2 linked regions of the Coturnix japonica genome follow. The protein of the gene in region 1 purifies or fractionates together with the protein of each later gene. This does not show direct contact. Links are inferred from orthologs where the notes say so. Each region holds a gene or a part of one and is shown in the gene's direction. Other genes may lie near its edges.

Evidence for each region.
Region 2: the proteins of PPP6R3 (region 1) and AURKA purify together in Homo sapiens (affinity purification with mass spectrometry; 6 studies listed by BioGRID and IntAct, counting the BioPlex papers as one, with this or other methods). This does not show direct contact. The link is inferred for Coturnix japonica from reciprocal best matches to the Homo sapiens genes PPP6R3 and AURKA.

What each region holds. Positions count from the first base shown.
Region 1 is NC_029520.1:8,230,908-8,235,195, reverse strand, and holds the start of PPP6R3 (serine/threonine-protein phosphatase 6 regulatory subunit 3), read left to right. Parts: upstream 1-1,488; 5' UTR 1,489-1,632; intron 1,633-2,420; exon of another isoform or gene 2,421-2,538; intron 2,539-4,288.
Region 2 is NC_029535.1:10,858,926-10,862,866, forward strand, and holds the end of AURKA (aurora kinase A), read left to right. Parts: intron 1-194; coding exon 195-386; intron 387-737; coding exon 738-876; intron 877-1,246; coding exon 1,247-1,395; intron 1,396-1,977; coding exon 1,978-2,152; intron 2,153-2,727; coding exon 2,728-2,886; 3' UTR 2,887-3,441; downstream 3,442-3,941. UniProt on the Homo sapiens protein: Mitotic serine/threonine kinase that contributes to the regulation of cell cycle progression.

The sequences.
Region 1 (4,288 bases):
GTTGAAAGAGTAAAGGTGGGGGAAAGCGTTACAGGAGATAGGGAACTGAAATTACTGTGGGAGGGGAAAACATAGGGGACAGAGTACATGATGGTTGGACGCTGTACTTATTTCTGCAGCTTACAGTATAACTAGTTTTATTACCAGGGCCTAATTTGGTGTCTGATGTTAATAATTAATATAACTGGGTCTTCCCCTGCTCCCCAGCATTTCTAATGAGTAGCATTTGCTTTTTAGCTTTATAGTTAGGCCTCATTGCCTCAGGAATCTTCTCCCTGTTGTTGCCTTCCGTGATCCCAGAACGGCCCTTTCCATTGAGGGATGGCGTGGAGATCCCACCCCAGTCCCCAGCAGCTTTTGCTTAGAAATGCTAATAGGATCAGCGTTGGAAACGAGATTAAAAGACCGAACTTGAACATTTTGTTTCAACTAAATGGATTAACTCGTGGGGTTTGGTGCAGCCAAGCATCCACGTTCCCCCTCAGCAGCAAAACCATGAAGTCGTTGTTCAGAAATGCTTCTTCCTTCCCCTTAAAGCTACTTAGTTTTCACAATGCTGATAAGCCCTCGGCCTAAATCATTAACATTCTTCGAAGGTTCTTTTTTTTTCCCCTCTCTCATCCTGTGAGGAGGATAAAGGGGTTTGTGAGGGTTATGGCTAAATCTGGTTGTTGGCTCAGCTGGCCTTGCTCTACTAGTCGTTACTTTGTTGTTGAATTAACACATAGACAAGAGTGGCGGTCCCGCACCCCACTGCTGGAAGGGCCACGAGCTGAGCTGGTTGGGCCGGTTGCGAAGTAGAGCTTGTCTCCCAGGGAGTGCCCTGTGTAGGGTGAGCACAAGAAAAAACACATTATTTAAAGCCTTGCTTTTTCTATCCTAGACACAGCCGCGTCCCAAAACGAAAACAGAGAGCTCCACACTGCAATTTACATTGGGGTTAAAACAAGCCCTCTGGGCTCGAGGAAAGAAAATAATCCCTGCGCTGGAGAATGCGGGCATCGATCCCGCTACCTCTCGCATGCTAAGCGAGCGCTCTACCATTTGAGCTAATTCCCCACTGCGCAGCCTCCGCTCTCCGCGCCTCCCCACACGGCCTCCCCCGCCCCCCTTGTTGTCAGGCAGTTTGGCGCCGTGCTTGTGCACAGCGGCCAATGCGGACAGCGCCCCTCCCGCCATGCGCCGCGGCTCCGGATTGGACAGAGAGAGTTTATTATTTTTTAAGAGGCTTCCGCTCTTCCGATTGGACGATGGAAACGCCCGTCACGGTGACGTGCCCTGTTGCTAAGTGGGGAAGGTGGGATGAGAGGTGCGCCCTTCTCGTGCGCCGATTGGCTAGAAAGAAATCGACGGCCCGCCCCCATCCCCGCTTAAGCCTGTAGGAGCATTCTGACTGGGTGACTGACAGCGAGGATACTGCCAATGAGAGGCCGAGCCGCACACGCCACCCAATAGGAAAGGGGCGGGGCGGTGCCGGGGCGCTATGATTGGCAGGCAGGGCGGAGGGAGAGGAGGGCTCGCAGGCGCTGATATGTCCGCCATCTTGGAGCGTAGGTGATGGTGGCGAGCGGTGGCTTTCCCGCCTGAGCGGAGGCAGCGCGGGGCCTGTGGCGGGGTGACGCTGTGTCCGAGGTACGTTGTGTGCAGCGGCTCCTCGGCCTTCCTCCGCCACAGCTCCGGGGGGCGCAGGCCGCGCTCGGGGCCTTCCCGCGGCGGCGTGGGCCTGGCGCCTGCCCCCTCCGCGCGGGGGCTCCGCGGGGTCGGAGCCCGGCGGGACCGCGTGGGCCGGCCCGTATCGGCCCCGAGCCCGGGCCGTGCCGGGCTGCGGGTATGGGGGGCAGCCGGGCTGGGCGCGGCGGGGAGGGCCCAGGGCCGCCGCCTCGGGCCCTTCGGTGGGGCTCAGAACTGCTGGGCGCCCGCGGAGGGGCGGTGCTGGTTCGGAGCAGCGAGCGCCGCCGGCTGGGGCGGAGCGGAGGGCCCTGAGATACGGTGCGGTACGGTGCGGTGCTCCCGGGGCAGGCCGAGTGCTGCTCCGTGCCGCCAGCAGTCACTTGTGTGGGTACCGCTTACAGAACTTCTGTGCCTCTGTGATAAGCCTGGATCACATCACTGATGGCTAACTTTGTTTTTACTTCTTCAAAATCACTGTATTCCTGCTGTTTTTAAAAAAATAATTATTTTTATTCATTATTATTATTATTACTTTTTGTTAGAACTTGCTGGGAGCGCGGCACTATTGATTTATCTGTTGCTAAATACACCTGGCAAAACCCAACTTTGAACCTGCTGCTTGTTTTTGTGTTGCTTTAGTAGTTAGAAACTTCTGTGAGCATAAGGGGGAGTTGGTTGGTGATGCAGCCTTGTGACATAAGCGCAGGTGGAGCTGAGGTCAGGGGATTCTCTCCACCAATGTGACATAAGGAGCAACACGCCTATTCGTGCTATCCCAAAGTTCTGGGCGGAGGAATATAGAAAGCTTAAGGGGGATGTAGAAGCTTTAGGAAACCTTCCTGGAGAGGGATTGCTTAAAAATGAAAGGTTGTATCGCGGCTTGTGATACTCTTTAGGTAGACAGTGTCATAAGTGGGATGGGTGTAAATGTACTCTTGGCTGTTTAGATGTGGTGGTGGCTTTTTTTTTTGTTTAAATGCTGAATATTAAGCAGGTTTAATCTATGATAGGATCGTACAAGTGAACTGCACAAATACCCGGCACCTTTCTTCTTATTATTAGTCGTGAACTGCTCAAACCCGCATTTCAGTGATCTTGCTGGAATACCCAAGTTTGATAAACTGCTACGTAGTTTCAGTACAGCACATATGAGCCCTATTGCTTAGCTCTGCGTTACTTCTTTGTGCTCCCGTGGGGAGGCACGGACTAACTGTAGCTCGCAGGAGCCTTTATTATGCAAATCTAAAAGAACAATACAGAATTATGTTTCCAATATACAGCTTCTAAACGAGACCCCATGCAGATGTGGTATACAGCCAGCATGTGAAGTTCTTAACAGCTTAATATTCCATTACGGAATGAAGGATATTAATTAGTTTGTGTGTGCATCTTTACAATATTGCTTGCAAACTGTTTGCTGTGCTGCTGTTGATTTGATAAAGTGAGGAAATCTGGCTGTTTCCTTCCGAGCGCTTATTTCTTGCACTTAACAGAGGTGATGCTATAGACAGGACACCAAGTGGAGTGAATCAGACGATGATCTCAGGGTGAGCTTCAATTAACTCGAATAGAAATTCTCCCATATTACAGCAGAAAATGATGTGTGTAACATTAACAGATGGTTAGAGAGTGAACTCTAGTGCCGTGGCTCAACAGCTTTGCTTCTGTGCTCAGCTTAAGCTTGGGGTGCACATACTGTGCTGTGCTGCACTACGCAGCTGGCTCTGAAGCAACCAGTGTGTGACTGAAACCTAAGGAGAGGGATGCTGTGCTGAGCTCACTGGTGGTGTTCCCTTTCTCTAAACTGATGATGTCCTCTTTTGTCCAAGTGCTTAAAAGGCTCTGTAGTATTTATTCAGCTCCGCAGGCAGTTAAGCAAATTGCTTTGTATCACTGTATTATTTCATCTACTGGCTTCAGTGTTGCAGCACTGGACGCAGTATCTTTGTAGCAGTGGACTTGTGTGTTCCTATGAGTTCATTCATGGCCTTTGGAAGCTGAGATGGAAATACAGCCTCTGTGGGCCTGTTTCCATAGTAAGATGGGATGTCACACCATGTAGTATCGAGTTCTGGTGGTCATGTAGCATTTTCATCTGTGACCCTCAAGGTTTCCATATATTGTGTCACATGGCAGGTTTAGGATGGTGTGTTTCTCAAAGCAGGCGATGCATCTGAATTGACACAAGTAGATACATTTGATAGCACTTCTCTAGAGCAAGACGAGAGCCGTGGTTTTTGGCAAAGCTTCCCATGGTAATAAAACACATAGGGATAGATGAAGTTGGAGGAGAAGAGCAAAGGACTCGAAGCCATTTAGTGATTGGGTTCGGTTCTGGTGTTTAGGGTGTTGGGGAAGTCTGGAAGATTAAGCAGAAAGTACCGAGAGAGTCTGAATGCTGAAAGCTTTGCATGTCACATGGAAGCGTTTTGGTGATGTGTCAATGTTCCGGCATCTGTTGTAGAAACCATATGCTACTAAGCAACTGAAGTAAAATGTTTTTCTACTCTTGGGTATTACATACAGCTCTATAGCTGGTTTGGGATGTTTTTTAGGAATCTGGATGGACTGAAGTTTCTTTTTGCTGTTTCCTCAGTATCATAGGATTGTTACAGTT
Region 2 (3,941 bases), on another chromosome or scaffold:
TTTGCTGCAGTATGTAGCTGTATCTCTATGCATATGCTTTAGAAGCAAGAGAGAAGCTTTCCCTTTGAGAAGTCTCAATGCATGTTTTGTCCTCTTGGTGGTGTTCCATTAAAGACTAAAGTCTATCAGCATATAAGTGGAACATTGCTGATACACTCAAGCATTATTCTGTAACTTTCTGTCTCCTTTTGCAGAAGACAGTGGTCTCTTGATGATTTTGAAATTGGTCGTCCTCTGGGGAAAGGAAAATTTGGCAATGTATACTTGGCACGTGAAAAACAGAGTAAATTTATTCTTGCACTGAAAGTGTTGTTTAAAGCACAGCTTGAGGATGCTGGTGTAGAACATCAACTACGAAGAGAAGTTGAAATACAATCTCATCTCAGGTAATATAACTGTTACCCTCTTCTTAGTTTATGCTCAGTTAAAAAAGAAAGTAAACTCACTTGAAGAAAAGCAATTCTGTAATACGTGACACCTTGAAACTGCTTGTTAAGAAACTGCTTGTTAAGGTTCTTGCCATTCTGCCCCTGCCCCACCACCGCATGGACCAAAAAGAAAAGAGAACCCAAACATAGAAGCCAAGCACCTGGCCAGTTCTTACAAGTGGATGACTGCAATTTCTCAGTCTAAGCTTGTTCCTGGTATTCTGTTTCCTGTCAAATAAGCCCAACTTGCTGAATGAATTAGTTGTTTCACAGAAAATATGTTCAGGAAGGCATTTCAATTTCTTGCAGGCATCCCAACATTCTCAGACTATACGGCTACTTCCATGATGTTACAAGAGTCTACCTTATTCTAGAGTATGCACCTCGTGGAGAAGTCTTCAAGGAGCTACAGAAGCACACCAAATTCGATGAACAAAGAACTGCAACTGTAGGTTGTTCTAATTGCTTGTACGTTGCTTGCTCCTGTGTAGCATACCTGAAGTATGCAACTTTCTCCTGAAGAGCTAGCAATTTTCAGTTGCATAAAACTAACTTTTTGGATGCTAGCTTGCTTATGCACTTGCAGCCTGTTTAGGAATATGTTGGGAGGACAAACAACTTCAGTGTCAATGAATAATGTTCAGCATTGCCCAGCACTGTAATTTGTGTGGTCACTTCAAGCAACATCTGTTGCTTGTGAGTGCAAGGAACAATTTTTCTGCTCCAAACTGCTAATTATGACTAGAGAATATTATACTGTAGCTAATAAAGCTTGAGCATCAGTGTCTTCATATTTGACAGTTCTGTTTTCTTTGCAGTACATTACAGAACTAGCAGATGCCCTATCATACTGTCATTCCAAGAGTGTGATTCACCGGGACATCAAACCAGAAAACCTGCTGCTTGGCTCAAATGGAGAGTTAAAAATTGCAGACTTTGGATGGTCTGTGCATGCTCCATCCTCTAGGTAAGATCACAGTATATACCTTGTACAGTGAAATTCTTCTGTAATGAAAATTATAGCTTTCTTGCCAAACTTAGTTATGCAATGGAGGTAAATGTCAACTTACTGAAATACTGGGGGGGAGCATTTAATAATTGGGCCAGTGCTGTCAAGCTCTTAATATTTGATTGGCGTAGCATAGAGGGAACGTTATCCTGCTTCTCCATTTGTGTATCTGACAACTTACTGAACCTGAAACAAGGGTGTTAGTGCGCTGGTTTAGGGTTACAGTGGTCCCTGAAATGAAGATCAGAACTTCAGTTCATGCTGTACCTGGAATGTTTCCTTAGTATGAACTGCACCCAATGAAGAAAGCCTCACTGACCTGTGAGCCAGTGGGAGAGGCAAAAAGGAAGGGCAAAACTGCCTGTCATGATCAGAATACTTCAAAGCAAACCTAGAATGACTGATGGAATTCCAGAGATACTGGGTTTATCTGGGGTAGACTACACTGAGATACAGATAAGAACACTGGAATCAAGATGCTAATACTAACAAACAGCCACAAAGGGTAAATGATACACTGTACTCTGTGCTTTTCTTCAGGAGATCAACTCTCTGTGGGACACTTGACTACTTGCCTCCTGAAATGATTGAGGGAAGAACACATGATGAAAAGGTGGATATTTGGAGCCTGGGGGTTCTGTGCTATGAATTCCTTGTAGGAAAGCCACCTTTTGAAGCAGCAACATATCAAGAAACCTACAGAGCTATTTCCAGGGTATGTACCATAACTTTGACTAGGTGAATTTTGGTTTCACTTCTTGTCTTCTTGAAAGTTTAATATTGCTTTTGAGGGAAGGAAAGCCATAACGAGATACACAGAAAACTAGATCCCTAAAGCTATCCTGAAGTGACTCCAGTAGAATTACAATAAAGACAGCTTTCCTGGCTGCTTGGTTCTGTTCTGTTTCTACCTGTATCTGAACACCAACCTTTTCATATAGCAGTTTATTCTTCACAATCTCCTCCACTACTTTCATGTTTCTGGTATATAAAATATTAATTGCTTGAGGTATCAGGAAAAACTTAAATTATATATTTCTAGAGTTCTGTAAACTTGAGAGGTTCCAGCAATGAGGTTTTATGTTGGGAGCACCCAAAAAAGCACACTAGCTGAACTTTGGCAAGCAGCGAGAGCCTTGTGATGAAATTACTAGGTACAAGGTACATAGCCCACAAGGCTGACAGTTTTCTTTGCTCTCTGTACCTTGGGGGGCAGAACCCTATTGCTTTCCAGTTTTGATTAGTGCCAAAGAATATTGCATCATCTTTTGTCTTGTTTCCTTTTCTTAGGTGGAATTCAGGTATCCAGTATTTGTAACAGAAGGTGCAAGAGATTTAATTTCAAAGCTTCTGAAACATAACCCATTCCATCGGCTGCCCTTGAAGGATGTACTTGTTCATCCCTGGATTACAGCAAATTCTACAAAGCTGCCCAACAATAGGAAGTGATGTTGCCACCCCATCCAGAATATAGTCTTAACAAGGGTAATCTCATTGGACTAACGAGGAGATTTGTACTGTGACTACTGTAATACAGTAAGAAGAGCAGGTCTTGGAATCCAGTGGCAATTAAGAACACAAGTTTTGGGTTGGTTATCATCTTGAACTGACCTTGAATTGCAACGTAATCTATTTGACTTCTAGCTGGATGTTGTGGAATACTTAATGTACTTGAAAAATAACTACACGTGGGCCAGATTTATTCATGTAAGTATTCAAGGTCTGTTCAAGGCCTTTATGGTATGGTCTGTCATAGTTATAGCACATTGTTCCAATAACAAGAGACAGTGATGGTTCTATCTTACTGAACAGTGCAATATCCCAGAGATACCTGCCTGTGAACTCACTGGGCTGCTAAAGGGTATCATACCTGTGGTGTAATCTGAAACTGAGGTGAATGCATTTGTGTCCTAAAAATGAATGATGTGTGCATTTTGTCTCTAGTTTTTTGTCTTATATGTGAGCGCTCAAGTATCTAAATAAAGATTGCTTATATATTGAAAAGCATGGTAAGGTTCCTTACAATACATAGTATCTTGGGTGCTGGCTGCCTCCAACTTCCTGTCATTACTGTCATACTAGGCACATCTTGACTTACCTCCATGGTCACAGACTCTAGCTCTGTCCAGAAGTAAGTTGATATAAATTAAGTTCTTGCTGTAAGTGCTGGTGTTGTGGAAGTAGATGCAGCTATTATTCTTCAGGAAAGTACTAGAAGTGTTACTAAATACCTCACGAGAGTTTCACAGTCACTTAAAAACTAAATCTGCTTCTTTCTTTGCAGCTGAAGTGTAATAGTCATAGGTGAGGTGCACATACACACCACAAACAAGGAACAAAAAACCAAAGCATGCTGCTTACCAATCCATGTTTCCAATTCTCTGGTGTTTATACTCTGGGCTCCAATTTTTTTCCCCTCTATTTAGAAATTATTAGAAGCAGAAGTAATAGATTAGAACCTGGGCTTCATAGCTACCATAGACATAAATGGCAAAGCATCTCAC